Linked DNA regions of Danio rerio. The protein of the gene in region 2 binds, or shares a complex with, the protein of the main gene of each other region. Links are inferred from orthologs where the notes say so. Each region holds a gene or a part of one and is shown on either strand. Other genes may lie near its edges.

Region 1 (7,067 bases), on a different chromosome or scaffold from region 2:
ATTCCTCTCAAAACAATACTAATCTTGTATATTACATGTATATTACTTCCTGAATAGGTACAAACAGGGATAAATATTTGGTGATTGAATGTGAAACTGGAAAGAAACAAAACTAATTTAAAACAGAATACAATAGTTTAGTTATAGATTTTCGTCATCGTTGTTGTTTAACAAAAACAATGTTACATACAGTGTTGACGCATGTCCTCTGATCACCTGTGACATCATGAATAAGGTTTGCCAATGTTTGGTTTACATTACGCTAGTATTCAGACAGCTCCTGTACATTGAGATGGTTTAGTTTATAGTTATGCACATCACCACGTCTGTAAAAGGATAAACCCAGCATCTCTTCAGTTTATCGACAATCATCTTCTCTCTTTAGGATTAGTGTTCAGCAGAGGAGCCGCCGTCCTCCCTCGAGTGCTTGCTGGGAGCACTGGGATGTGTGCGTGTATGAGAAACAAGCAAAACAAGTGAGGGAAGGAGACAGGAGAAGAAGGGAAAAGAAGAGAGCGGTAAGGAAGGAATGAGTGAATGAATTATGTTACACCTCCATCACACAGAGCCGTCAGGCCTCTGCGAGCAATCACACTGCGGGGGGGAGAGGCTTTAGATACAGGTGGGATTTGTGGGAGAGGAAGGAGCAGAGAGAGAGAGATAGAGAGAGAAGTCTCCATGGTCATTAACAGCTGCAGCCCTCTTTCTGGGGCTGTGCGTCGCTGCTGAGCCGCCCTCCCTGCGGGGCGGTGGGCTTGTGCTGGACCCCTGACTCGGCTGCGTTCAGGTCCAGGCTGCCGTCCTGAATGTTCTGGTAGATCTTCTTGGCAGCTTCCAGAAAAGCATCCTCCACATTCTCGCCTCTGTTGAACAGACACGCAAAGATGAGCTAGAATGTGAAGGATATTATGACAGATAAAGAGAGGAGGCTCTGACAGCAGATGGTCTGAAAGTCACTTACGTTTTTGCACTTGCCTCAAGGAACAACAAACCTGTTTCAAAAGATTAAAAATGCCACAGTTAAACGTTTTAGCCTTGTAGTTAATTTTATTTAGCAACAAGCAAGCTTGTGCTCAAGTTAGTGAAACATTAAATGAATAACTAGTGGAACTCCACCTTTTTGACTAGAAGAGCCTGTTCATATTTCTCTTATAATTAAGACCACATCTACTTTACAGTACAAAGTATTTTCCCCATTAATATAATACAAAAAGTCTGTTTTGTGTTATGAACTAAACCAACCAGCTATGAGAGGAATCACATTCAACTTTGTGACCGTGGCAGTGTTTCCTCTTGGATTTTTTTCCAGCTGTGGTGGCAGGCCTCTTTTACACAGATCTACCAACTACCTGTGGCGTTATTTCAATGACAAATGTCGCGATCGCATTTATGTAATAGCCTACGAGCATGCGAATCTCTTTGCTTGCGCGCCGATTTCCATTGTTCATATACAAAATTATTGCGCGCCCCCTCAAATATACACTGCTCAAGCGCAGATCTTCTTGTGCGCTCTCAAATAAACGCTGCTAAAGTGTGATTTAATGCATTTATGTAACAAGTATGTCTTCAAGATTTATTAGATTTGCTGGGAATATTTATAAATGTCTCCAATAGACCAACAGAGCGATATTAATGCGTCCTGAAGTAATGCGAAATGGTTATACGTTGTGTTTGCTGGTCTCACGCATCATGCACCTGTCAGTCAGCACGTAATCTTAAAGGGTTAAAGAAATGATGCACAGCACTACTACAGTTACAGAAAAGTTTGCCCTGTTATAATTCACTTACCTTTTAATACGTTTTGGTGCAATTATTAGATTATCATTTAAAAAACATGACTGAATGTTTTGAATGAAAAGTTGCAATGTAGCAATAGCGGATCAATTTTGGAGTGGTGCCCCAGCATGGAAGAATGAATGTAGCGGAAACCATGCATGGAATTTTCTGGGTAATGTAGTTTTCTCCTTAATTTCTGTTATTAAACATTTTAAAATGAAGTTGAAATGATGCGCAAGTATGAGTTAAACAAAAGCATATACAATCAATTAATAACAGGTCTGTCTTAAAATGTCTTGAATTTTTAAATATTAGTTCTTGTTAAAAATAAATCAACAATTTGACTCTGAGATTTTCAAAGTGCATCGCTTTTCTCTCTTGAATTGATTTAAGAGTTTAGTTTTAACAGCAGATGCTGTATGCTTTACAAACAGACGTACTCTGCTTGCATTTAATTCTCTGCAAATACCACTTGAACCTAAAATGACCATTACTGAAGGTAGGAAAGGTTTACATGTGCAAGAGTGTTCATAGTGAGCTTTCTTTAAATTCATATCATTACATAAAAAGCCATCTTGCATGAGTGGAATGTATAAGCACACTTCCTATGGACCAAAAGCTCCTTCTCAGAATCGAACTTAAGAGGGAATAATGATGCATTTCGAAAATCTGTTGCATTGTTGATGCAAATTTGGTTTCTCAAACAACTTTTTTTTTTTTTTTTACCACAGCTCTGGTTTAAAATAACATTCCCAGGGCAGGGTTCAACACTAAGGATTTTTTTCTACTGGCCCAATTGGGCCAGCAGTTTAGATTTTTTACTTGCCCTGGCAATATTTTCACTGGCCCACCAAAAAATAAAAAAAGTTAATAGCTATTTCTTATGTTTTAAATATTGTGTCAAAAATGTGTTTGAATCTAGAATTTAAATATTTTTTAAATGTTAATAAATGCATAATGAGCAAATCGTTGCGTTGTACTCATGTAAATGTCTGCTTACAAGACATTCTTTTAGCCTCATCATTTAATGTTGCCGTCACTTCGCTGTACTGGTTTATACCAGGTTACAAAAAAAGAAATCACAACATCCAATCAGATAAGAGGAACTGAACAGAGAAGGTGGCATTTAAAGGCTTAAAAGCACAAACTGTTTCTCGATTGTAAGACTGTATTCATACGCAATTGACAAATAATCGGAGACAAATGAAACTTTTATAAAATAATACAAGGCAGCACATATTGGGCCAGTAACAATCCTGTCTACTGTCCTGAGTGCCCTGGCCATCGGGCAGTCCTTATTGTTGAGCCCTACAGGAGAAAATAAATTTTTACGTTTGAATCCTGATTGTTGCTCTGGCTATTACATAATGAATAATGATGTTAATTTAATTACCCATGACTAGACCCAACACACAGAATCCACACCTGCAGAAATCTGCAGATTTTTAGCCCATTATGGAGTCTACTTATTTACTTGTGTAAACAATTATTTAGTTTTTTTATATAAATATTAGTAATATTATTGAATATTATGCAAATCTTTATATAATTTATGTACAATAGTTTGTAGTCTTTTAGTGGAGATGTGGTAAACGTGGTTTTAATAGGATCTGCATTGTAAACCTTCGATAAAAGTTAATAAGTGGTTATTTGTTTCCTGCTTTCATGTGTTATTTTTTTTGTTTCTATACTCTCAAAATCATTTCGCAAAAATCTGCACATTTTATTTTTTAACAAAAAATGCACAGAAATGGCAGAAAAAAGTAAATGTCTGAAGACTCTGTCTGGCCTTGCCCATGACACATCTTCAGTCTGTATTGCAGAAGTGTATGTTCTTCAATAAAACACTTACCAAGAAAATGTGAAAAAAAATATGATTTTGTATATTAATTTTTAACGTTTTAATCTAGTCTGATTATTTAATGGTGAAATCAACTTAGTATTTATTACTATCATTATCCTGCATACTCATTGTTGTAAACCACTAAATAAAAAGCCTAAATACAAATCCCCTAAATGTTCTGTATTTCATTTTCCCTTTTCAAACAAGCATCTTACCGTTCTCTTCAGCAAACTGCTTGGCCTCTTCATATGTGACATCTCGCTGGGCTTCTAGGTCTGCTTTGTTACCGATTAGAATGATGACCTGAAGAATTATTTACATTGTTTAAGGCGATTAAGCACACAACATAAGCTGTTAAAACATGTATAAAGCTCCAACACTGTATACTTAAAGGTCCAGAGAAATTAAAATTACGTTTTGTATATGTTAGTATCAATATTGTTAGTTTTTCAATTATATCTATTAGCTAGTGTGCCGCAAAAAGGGACAAAATTCCCATTTAGAAAATATTAAACTGATATAAACATGTAAAGCTTGTAGGTTGTCATTTTCACCTAAATTGATAAATGTTTTTTTTTTTTTTCACGTCAACCCATACTACAGTTACTCATAAAATCATAACCAATCAAATGCTCTCTAGTATTTGACATGTCCCGCCCCGTTCAGGACTCGCATTTGCTTTTCATTTGATGCTCTTGAGCTCAATCCTTTGCTGGCAGAGCGGTGATAAAACAACACTAAAGGCTATTTTTTTTAAGATAGAGGGGCTACACTATGCCCCACCCTCTATTTATGTTCCATTAAGATTGTGTCAAACATCAAATAAAAATGCACATTTTAAAGCACTTCACAGGACCTTTAAATGTAAATGTTTTATAGTCTTCTTCATACAGCCAGTATGAAGTATGTAGTCAGTGAACTTACAGTATTGGGGTTGGTGAGATTCCTGGCATCAGTCAGCCAGCTGCTAAGGTGATTGTACGTGCTTCGCCTGCAAATAAAAAACAAATTCAGTTATTTTCTTGATGCCTTGCAAAAATAAGACATCATTCGCAAATCAACCATGCAATCAGAGCTGAACATTAGTTTACCTGGTGATGTCATACACCATGAGGGCCCCAGCGGCTCCTCTGTAGTAGCTGCGTGTGACAGCACGAAACCTCTCCTGACCTGCCGTGTCCCAAATCTGAAGCTTCACCTTCTGCCCACTCACTTCAATTATCCGTGTGCCAAACTCAACACCGATTGTATGAGGACAGTCAGCCATAACTTAAAAATAAAAAGAAAACTGATATTAGACATGATAAATTGACCTGTCATAACTCTCTTTGATTAAAACCACGGCAATCAATAACTAATATACAAAGGATAAATTCTATTTAGTAGCGTTTTCAAAACATCAGTGCTTTCTGTCTCTTCTGTCTCCATGTCAGATTAAAGTGTTTGCTGTTCTGTGAGCAGCTCAGGATCTTGATTAAATGATGCAAACTCAAGTTTTACTTGTCTTAAGGCTCCAATATGCAGATGTTAAATTTAGTTTCTCTTCTAGATTGAGGGGCAGTTCTATTATTCTGCAGCTTTTCTGTGTTCATATTTGTCTGACGCCATGTTTACATCTGCTGTTACTGTAGATGGATTTTTTAGCTTGATTTTTTTGTTGGAATTATTTACAAACTCTAAAAATAGATGATAGGCAGTGTCTGAAATGTTTCGAGCTTGTCCACTTTTACCGTCTTGATTTGGCTTCATGTGTTCAAATGCATTTGGTTTCCACTAAAGACCTTTCCATCAACTGATGTCATTTAATGGGGTTTATGCAGAAGGACTTTTAATTTTAGCCAGCTCAAATGCTTTCAGTCATGCCATTACAAAAGTGCAGCGTTTAATATCTGGTTTCTTTAAAAATCAATGATCGTCACTGCCTGATTAATATACAATAAAGTAGCTCTCAGACCAGACAAGAAGCACTGCATTAAATTTCACTGTTCTGCTCTAAGTCTTTAAAACGGACATTTACTTTCCCACAGTATTGTCAATGTAGTTTCTGTGATCGCCTGCTGCTCCTGATGGCGTTTATGTTTAGACAGCTTTTCATCTCGTTTTATGATTATGGAACTTTATAAAAATATAAATAACACTAATCTTTCTCCAGAAGATTGTTGTTGGCTGAAAAACACCAGCTCTGCATATACTCCATTTTTAAACATCACAGGACATGTTGAAATGTACAAGCCAAACTATGTCATCTGATATTGTATAAGCAAAAGACAAATGTTCCCTTACCAGTTCTGATTCTAAAACAAACCAACAGCAGCCTGAGTGGTTGGCTGCTGAACAAAATAAAAGCTGTTGCTCCCTGTCATTTTACATTTCCCATCTTTTAAAGGTCACATGTTGATAGTGTATGATTATATTTCACAATATTCAACTACAAAATAAATTGGGAAAATCAATATTTGAACCTACTCATTAGCCTTGCCCTCAAAGTAATCAGGAAAGAGGACAACAGAGACTAGGTTCAAGCTAATTGTTGGTTAAAACAAACCAATTCTGTCTGAAAATCATGCCACACTAGCTCTTCCTTGATTTTAAATGAAATATATATATGGGCCTTTTGAAATCCATCATTCCAGTCACACTTTGTTTCAGCAATTGCGTAATCTCAATTTTTGTGGACAGATGATTATAGCATTACACAAGACTTGTAATTAGCAGCATTTATTAATTGTACTGTGATATAAATATCTGTTAAGTCTTCAATTTTATTTAACTCTTGCTACTTAAAAAATTATATATATATATATATATATATATATATATATATATATATATATATATATATATATACACACACACACACACACATACATACATACATACATACATATGTACATATATGCATACATATGAATAAATATTTATTAATTTCTTATCACAAAGCAATATAATTATAATAAATAATAATTTACTAAGGAATCAAAACAAAAAATCTAATATCCCAACTATTAAAGAGATACTTCACCAAAAACTGAAAAATCATTTACTTCTTCCAAATCTGTTTGAGATTCTTAGATTAAGAATTATTTTTATTATTTATTAAAATGACCTACTAATGATTATTTTATTAACTCTACTCCCACCCCAACGCTAGCCTTCCCCTCTCTGTAATGTAAATACAGTTATTATTGTTACACAGTAACTGTAATGTTGTAATAAAGTACCTCTAATTCTTTCTACTGTTGAACACAAAAGAAGACACTTTGCAAAAATTAAGCAAATCTGTAACCATTGGCAGTGTTTGTTTTTCCTACTATGGAAGTGAATGGTTCCCAGTTTTCAGCATTCTTTACAAAATCTACTTTTGGTAAGATTTTATTTTGATGGTCCTTTTTGTACATTTTCTTGACTAAAAGTTGAATTGTAACTACAGGCCAATTACTTCTCATTT
Region 2 (7,827 bases):
AAGCTAGAAAAAAGGTTTTATCACTTCACTTTCTCTCTTACAAAGGCCAGAACAGGAAGTCAACAGGACAGTTCAGCCAGCCACCCTAATATGCAAATAAAGGGAAATTGACATGCCTTCTATTTTTGAATATGGGCCTACGTTTCCAAATAGACTAAAAAACTTAGGTCAGCTCCCTATAGTAGCTCAAAAGCTAAAATATCAATACAATGTTTTTAACTAACTAAAGTAAACCATTAAAGTCCTGACTGTCAAATTCCTCTATAGCAGTCAAGTAGACTTGTGTTTGTTTGGACAGCAGATCAAAGAATGCTACAATATAATTATTAAACAAAAGAGTGTTGGGAATAATACAACTGCATTATAACAAACTGTAGCTACAGTATATTAATAAACTATGGAGTCAATTATGTCTAGAAAAAAATCATAATATATTCATAACTGCTAATTCAACGTAAATACCCCACCAATACAGCTCATTGAGGTAAAGTTGGTTTTATAGCCGCACATTCAGACTTTGTCCTTAATAATATAACTTCAGAAAAGTATTCTGTGTGAATTCTAAATAGTAAAATCATATTTTGAGGTAAAGTTGTTTTTATATTTGTACATTTGTTCATTTTGGTACAGTTAAAACTTGTGACAGGCTACTTTAAATATTGGCTCTGGAATCTCATGTGAGGAATTCAACACAACATTAACATCATATAATTGACTGTGAACAATGTTGTACTTTGATAGTCATTGGCTATTAATATGTTTAACCTATTTAGAGTTAACACTGAATACTTCTCTGAAGTTCTATTATTAGGGAGAAAGTCTGAATGTGTGAATATAAAAACTACTTTACCTCAATATAGAGCCTATATATGCAATCAAATAAATAAATGCATAATAAATAAATAAGTGCAAAAAATAAATACAATTTGTAAAAAAAATTAATAAAAAAACATGTAAATTATGATATTCATCCCTATTTTGCAAGTTAATGATTCTTGTCACATAGGAAAAACACGTTGTAGAGATGTCATTTGCTTTATCACTATCCGCCAACAGATTGTACATGGATTTTTAGACGATTTCCTTTATTTTTAGTTTTCGAAACACAAAAGGGTTACTGCCTTTAATACTTTTGAGATATAAAAACGTATTAAAACTGATTGAAAGATTAAAACTGACCTAAAAGAATTACTAAAAAAATAACAGCTACATATTTGTAAATAAGCCCCTTTGAGATTATTTGGTCTCTGACAATGTTGATAAATGCTGAGTAGGAAAATTGGGAAACATTGGGAAAAACATTTTAGAAAAAAAGTTACCATACAAACAAACGAAGAGCCTGCATTCAATGCCTGAAAAGGTTAAATAACTAAAATAAAAACAATGCATTATTGATAATTATTTTATTGTAATAGTCTAGGAATAATAATAATAATAATAATAATAATAATAATAATAAATATAGCTGCAAGCAGCAATTAACGGGGGTCAAGCAGTTTAGCAGGGTAAGGTCATATAGCAGTTAGGACGCCTGTAAGTAGTTTATTCGACAACGAAATATACGATTAGAGTGTTAAAGTTTATAGATTGAGCTAACAAATGTTTGATTAAACACTCCAGAGAAGCAACTTCGATTTTTACATATTGACAAATTTTAATGAACATTTCGAGTGACCGCTTTTAAGTCAAAGTGACCAGTATAAGCAGCCCTAAGATATAATGTGTAGATCGAGTCATGGCACCTTAGACAAAGACAGAGCATGTCAAATTTCTAGTTAATCAGATAAATGGTTACTCAGATACAGTGATTTTACAATGTATAGCGCCACCATGTGGCCAATGTCTACGAGTTTCATGCTATGACCTCTGATTAACCACTTGCATATGTGTAATAAGTTTGGTGTAGATATTTCAATCCATTCATGAGTTTTGGCTATTTTAGCTCTTCCCAACAAAAATGACAAAACTATATCACTATATAAAGTAATAATTTTGTGTTTTATTAAAAGAATTAAAAAATCTACAGAGTAAAAGATGTGACAAGCTTTGACAAAATTTAATCTTAAATGCATTAATTGTGTTCAGTTCATGTCAATTTGGGATTCAGAATGCATTACATTACATAACATTCTTTGCTATAGAGCAGTAAAATAAACTATAAACTATGAGTGGTCTGTTACTTCCATCTAGTTGCAACAGTTGTGATTTTCTTTACACATGTTTTAAAACAAGGTGTTTAATTATAGAACCAGTTTTGCCTATTAGAATTATTACACAGAGGTTAACTGTGACCAAATTAGATGTTTAATGCATAGCAGTGTTTATATCAGGTCAAAATATGATTCAGAATGATCCTAAATGCAATTTCCCTGATTTCAAATCAAAAAGATGTAAAACAACAAAGGTATGCAAATGTTATGAACAATAAATAAGTGGTCTTGTTGTGACATCTAGTGGTTAGAAATGGTAAGTGACAGTTAAAAGTCTGTGTTATAGTGGCTAAAATGATAGAATATTGAAAATATGTGTTTTTAAGACATTTAAACATCCAATATGGGCAAGAAAAATTAACTTGTACATCATTTCAGTGATAGGTGTGTATATGAAGCACATTTACTGCATTTTTAAGCCATTTTATGATGTTTTTAGAACCATTTCTACTATTATAGCGCCACCTATTGCCCGATCACCACAAAATTTTGCATGTTAATTCGCATTGATATGCCACATGTGCTCATTAATTTCTGTGATGTTTTGGGTTTTTCTTATTGGTTTACAGGCATGTAGGTTCGTGTAGACACGCCCCTTTTGTAAATGAGCCTGTTACAGCTATCTAAAATGGAAAGTTCAACATTTTTTTGATAATTATTGATCTACTCAGTCCAGAGGTTCATTTAACACTGGTTTCGTTGTGATTGAGCTAAAAACCAGGGACTAGTTCGCAAAAGTATGTTTTGTTTATATTGATGGTTTTTTAATGAACGGTGTGAGTGACAGCAGTGGCTTTAGTGTCAAACTGTTCGGTATGAGCAGACCTATCACATGATATGTAGATTAAGTGTATTTGTGAAATAGTGTTTAAATGAAGCACATTTACTTTATTTTTAAGCCATTTGGCATGTTTTTAAGACTATTTTTGCTATTATAGCGCCACCTATGGTTTGATCTTCACAAAATTTTGCAAGTTTCTTCTCATTGATATGGCACATGTGCTCACCAATTTCTGTGATGTTGTGAGTTTTCCTTATTGGTTTACAGGCATGTAGGTCCGTGTGGACACGCCCCTTTTGTAAATTAGCCTGTTACAGCTAGCCAAAGTAAAAAGTTCAACTTTTTTTTGATAATTATTGATCTACACAGTCCAGAGATTCCACCAACACTGGTTTCGTTGCGATTGAGTGAAAAACCAGGGACTAGTTCGCAAAAGTAGGTTTTTCATATGTTGATGAATATTTAATGAACAGTGCGAGTGACAGCAGTGATTTTAGTGTCAAACTGTTCGGTATAAGCAGGCCTATCATATGATATGTATTTTCTGTGGTTTTGCAAAAGGTTGTGTGATACACAACTCATTACACCTTAAAATTGTGTAAAATCGCCCCCTAGTGGCCGATTTCTTTCAAAATTCTTACAGACCTCTAGGACAGTGAGTCGAACATGCCCAGCGAGTTTCGTTACGATCACTGATCGTTAACCTTGTTAAATGGCTGCTCAATATTTATTGGCTAATGGCGGCCATGTTTTTTGAGATGTGCCAATGTCCTTATAATGATTCATGGCAAACTGATCAAAGACACTGCATGCCAAATTTCAAGTTGATCGGACTAACGGTTGTAAGGTTAGAGTCATTTTATGGTTTTTAAGCTTTATAGCGCCACAGTGTGGCCAAAGTCTACTGTTTTTGCACTGTGACCTGAAATTGAGCTTATACATGTGTGTACCAAGTTTGGTGATGATATCTCATTCCGTTCAAAAGTTATAGCCACAATTAGCATTTAGCTTCAATTAGCATTGAACATTGTTGTGTACTGTTTCGAGTGAGAATAAAAATGTCAACTTTTTTTTGATAATTATTGATATTCAGTGTCTAGAGAACATTTGAGAGCTGGTTTGGTTTAGATTGAGTGAAAAACCTAGGACTAGTTCGCAAAAATAGGTTTCGGACAAATTGCGATGTAGCGGGAAAACGGTGCGCCGTAGAGCAAAAAGTGCAGCTGTGCACTTTTGTTCGGGTTAACCCAAGGATTCAAAATATGTAAAGTTTTTGAGTCTACGACAAACGGTAAACAAATAACGGCCAAAAATGTCCAAAAAGTGGGTTTTTGGCGCCATAGCGCCACCTATGGTCCGATTTGGCTGATCTTTGGTGAGAACGTAGTGTACCGGGGTACTACCTTCTGGCCAAGTTTCAGCTCTCTCGGCCTTACGGTTTGGCCTGGGCAATAGTGACTTCGGCAGAATAATAATAATAATAAAAATCCTAACAAATACAATAGGGTTTCAGCGCTACGCGCTTGACCCCCTAATAATAATATGCCGTGCTAAAAGGGCGGAGTATTAAAACTTTTCCATGCAGAATCATAGACCAAAACTAGCTATGGTTAACTCATCGGCAGTTTATTAATTAAACTTTTGAGTCAGTGGCATATTTTATGACACTCAGATAATGTCATATCTACATTATTTCCGTATAAGACAGAACGGCACTCACTCGGTTTTCTTGCGTGATCTGTTGGCGTGGAGGTCCACTAAATTGATGACAGCCTGCCCCAAAAACTTGTCTAGCCCCACCAGGGCACGGTGCATGGCGATGATGTACAGCGTGCATCGTTCCACGTCCCCCTGATGTACCAGCGGCAAGTCGAACGTCGCTTCCTCCTTCCATTCCGGTGAGACGCATTTCTCCGCTACCGAGGTGGAAAACTTGTCCTTGCCCACCTGCATGATGGCATAGGCGTCGTTCGTTCCATTTTTGCCCTTGATACGTAAGTTTCGTGCTTTGAGCACGGTTACCTGAACGCTGGTGGGATACCACTGCTGGTCACCCAAAGACATGTTTAAATACAAGTTCAAACGGGACTAAAATTGCTCTTTGTAAGTACGTCCCTGCTTGATGTTTGCCGTGTGTCCGGCGTCGTTCAAAGCTACTGTGTGTAACTGTTCTGTTTGGGAGATCTCACAAGTCCCGCCCTTTACGCATGACGCACAGTGTGTACCCAGCGCTCAGGTGATGCAGGTATCACACCATTCTTCAAGTTAAGCTATTACAGAAGAGCTTATGATGGTTTATTTTAGAATTCCGGGTTAATGCTACTTTAAACAATGTGTCTGTACCGCTTTTACTCTTTGGCCCTAATTTCAGTATTATTTTAACCTCAAAAAGTTAACAGTAAACGATGGTTGATTGAATATGTCAACGAGTTCGACAACAGAAAACCAATCAGACACTAGCATAGCATTCATTGACTATTCATGCACGTTTCGCAGTCACAAAATACCTTAAAACCTCAGTGGAGTTTACCTTCATGGATATTTAAAAATGTTCTATGTTTAAGCACGGTTACCTGAACGCTTATTGGATTTTCAATATGTAACCCCTATTTACTTCCTCGGGTCAAATGAACCACATAAAGTATATTTAGCAAGATGACAACAGAACAAGGGAGCGTGAGTAATTATTATGAAGCCGATTATTCATCCTCCCTCAGATCAGTCTGCTCCAGGCACTAGAGAAACAGTATCCTTAGTAGTTTACAAGCGTGATGTTCATTCCTTTGTCCTACGTGACAGTATTTGTTCCGCCCAGTCACTACAATACAGCACTCTGATAGGATAAATTACGTGTCAGTCGAATAACAACTAACTTTGAATTGGTTTAAACTCTTGTGAAGGATGTGAATTTGCATTTCACATGGAAACAGAGGTTACGTAATTGTCAGACGCAAATCGTTGGGCTGGGATTTTTTTTTTTTCATTTAGATAGATACAGGCCTGTAGCCTGGTGAAGTTAGTGGTTCTTTTTTTTTTTTTTTTTCAAACATAGACCTTTTTGCAGTAACTTTCAATGTAGTTATTAAATTTAAATACTGCATTTTAGTGACATTTTAAGCACTAATTTTTAGCTGAATTCACTTGTTGGATGGTGGTCATTATAACCACACTTTTTGATGTACCAAATATTTCCTAAAGATTTAGAATAAATAAATGTGATAAAATACTTATTTTTTAAAATTATAAATTTATTACATCATATATCATTAGAAAAAAAAGGAATCTGTTAAAGTTTTACATTAAAAACTGTAGCTTATTGTCATTTATGAGACAAATAAACTGGCCAGCACATTCAACCTTCCTCAGTCAGAATTTAGCCATTTCAAAACAAGAAAATATTAAATTATTTATAATAAAAGTTACTTGTAAAATGTTTTTTTTTTCTATTTAAAAACAATACAGTAGTGAAAGATGACTTCTTTTACATCATTTTGTGTGTTCACTTGCACAGCTGGATATTGGACTCTGGATCATATCATTGGGCAAAACTTATTAGCTGAAGCCACACTGAATCAACATTCCGTTTCCATCAGCACGGATTCTGTTTGCTCTTAAAGCCATTTTTAATGGGTTATTTTCACTATTTATGATGGCATGGCAGTCAAAATAGATCCACCCAAACCCTCCCTGGCAACGGGCCTGTATAACACAATTTAAGATCAAAGTGAAAATGATTTGAAATATTCTCGTAGTTTTTACCAAACCTTTATTTTGCATCATGTCGTTCATAAGGCACAATCTTAACATCTATAGCAAATATATTACTGAAATTGGTACAAAAAATGTTGCTATCATTTTCATATGATGTGAGTGACAAAATATATATAAATACTCATGTTACTATTGAAATCTCCCTTTTAAATGTAGAGATTACAATCAAAACATTGAGGAACACAATGAATTTAAACTGACCCTCAGACACTTTAGGTCTACCCAGAGAAAAATACGATTGTTCATGCAAATATCACAATGTCACATGAAACCATTATGCACACATAAGACATTTAAAATGTAAATCCCTTAAAGAAAAAAAAGGAAAACAAAACAATTTGTGTATAAACATGGTACACTTTGAGCAGACCACAAATTTCATGGTTGTGTTTTGTTTGCTTTTTCAAAAGACATTTTGCACCAAGAACTACTTATTTAAACCAAAATTAAGTAACACATGAAATGTTCAATGACATGATGGTGAGCAGTGTATTTCAGCCTTTAAAATTAATATTTTAACCTACATAGTCATCATGGCTTTACATGATTTGTGATTGTGGGAAAAAGGAAAATTAGTTCAGTATGTCTGTTTTTTAATACAGGTTTGACAATGATGAGGGCAATGATTTCTTGCTTGAAGGGGTCAACGGGAAACTACACAATATTGAAAATGTTCAGCATTAATTGTCTGTGAGCTTCTTTGGCACATAAATATCCCTGAACACAATTTAAAGTAAGCTGAAGACAAATACTCTGTTTCACTTGTTACTTTGCCATGATGGGACACAGGGGATAATAGCACTATATTCAGAATTTTTTAGCTTGTGGGCTTGGTGGGGTGGGGAAGAAAAACTGTCAGTGTGAAGATTGGAATTCACCATTTGGCTTCTGGTTGTGATTGTCCATTCTTTGCTTTCATATTAAGAATGATTTCGACATTTCAGGGTTAGAATCAGTCAAGCTTGACATAATTTTTTGTTCAAATACTTTTTGTGGTTTTTGTTTTTTATATGTTATCTGATTATCTTTTGGGAGAAGCTTGTGTCATTTCTGGTCAAAAACAAA

Evidence for each region.
Region 1: the proteins of rab11fip1a (region 2) and rab14 are in contact, whole or in part, in a crystal structure (PDB 4D0G), measured with the Homo sapiens proteins. The link is inferred for Danio rerio from reciprocal best matches to the Homo sapiens genes RAB11FIP1 and RAB14. Residues at the interface, in NP_001002814.2 of Homo sapiens: Glu1252, Ile1255, Asp1256, Asn1257, Leu1259, Val1260, Met1263, Pro1267, Asn1268, Leu1270, Arg1271, Ile1272; in NP_057406.2 of Homo sapiens: Leu28, His29, Ile44, Gly45, Val46, Glu47, Phe48, Gly49, Trp65, Arg72, Arg74, Ala75, Val76, Ser79, Tyr80.

What each region holds. Positions count from the first base shown.
Region 1 is NC_133180.1:69,326,613-69,333,679, reverse strand, and holds part of rab14 (ras-related protein Rab-14), read right to left. Parts: intron 4,889-7,067; coding exon 4,711-4,888; intron 4,611-4,710; coding exon 4,544-4,610; intron 3,923-4,543; coding exon 3,835-3,922; intron 993-3,834; coding exon 962-992; intron 864-961; coding exon 686-863; 3' UTR 1-685.
Region 2 is NC_133183.1:44,908,691-44,916,517, forward strand, and holds the start of rab11fip1a (uncharacterized protein rab11fip1a), read right to left. Parts: upstream 5,165-7,827; 5' UTR 5,056-5,164; coding exon 4,712-5,055; intron 1-4,711. UniProt on the Homo sapiens protein: A Rab11 effector protein involved in the endosomal recycling process. Also involved in controlling membrane trafficking along the phagocytic pathway and in phagocytosis. Interaction with RAB14 may function in the process of neurite formation.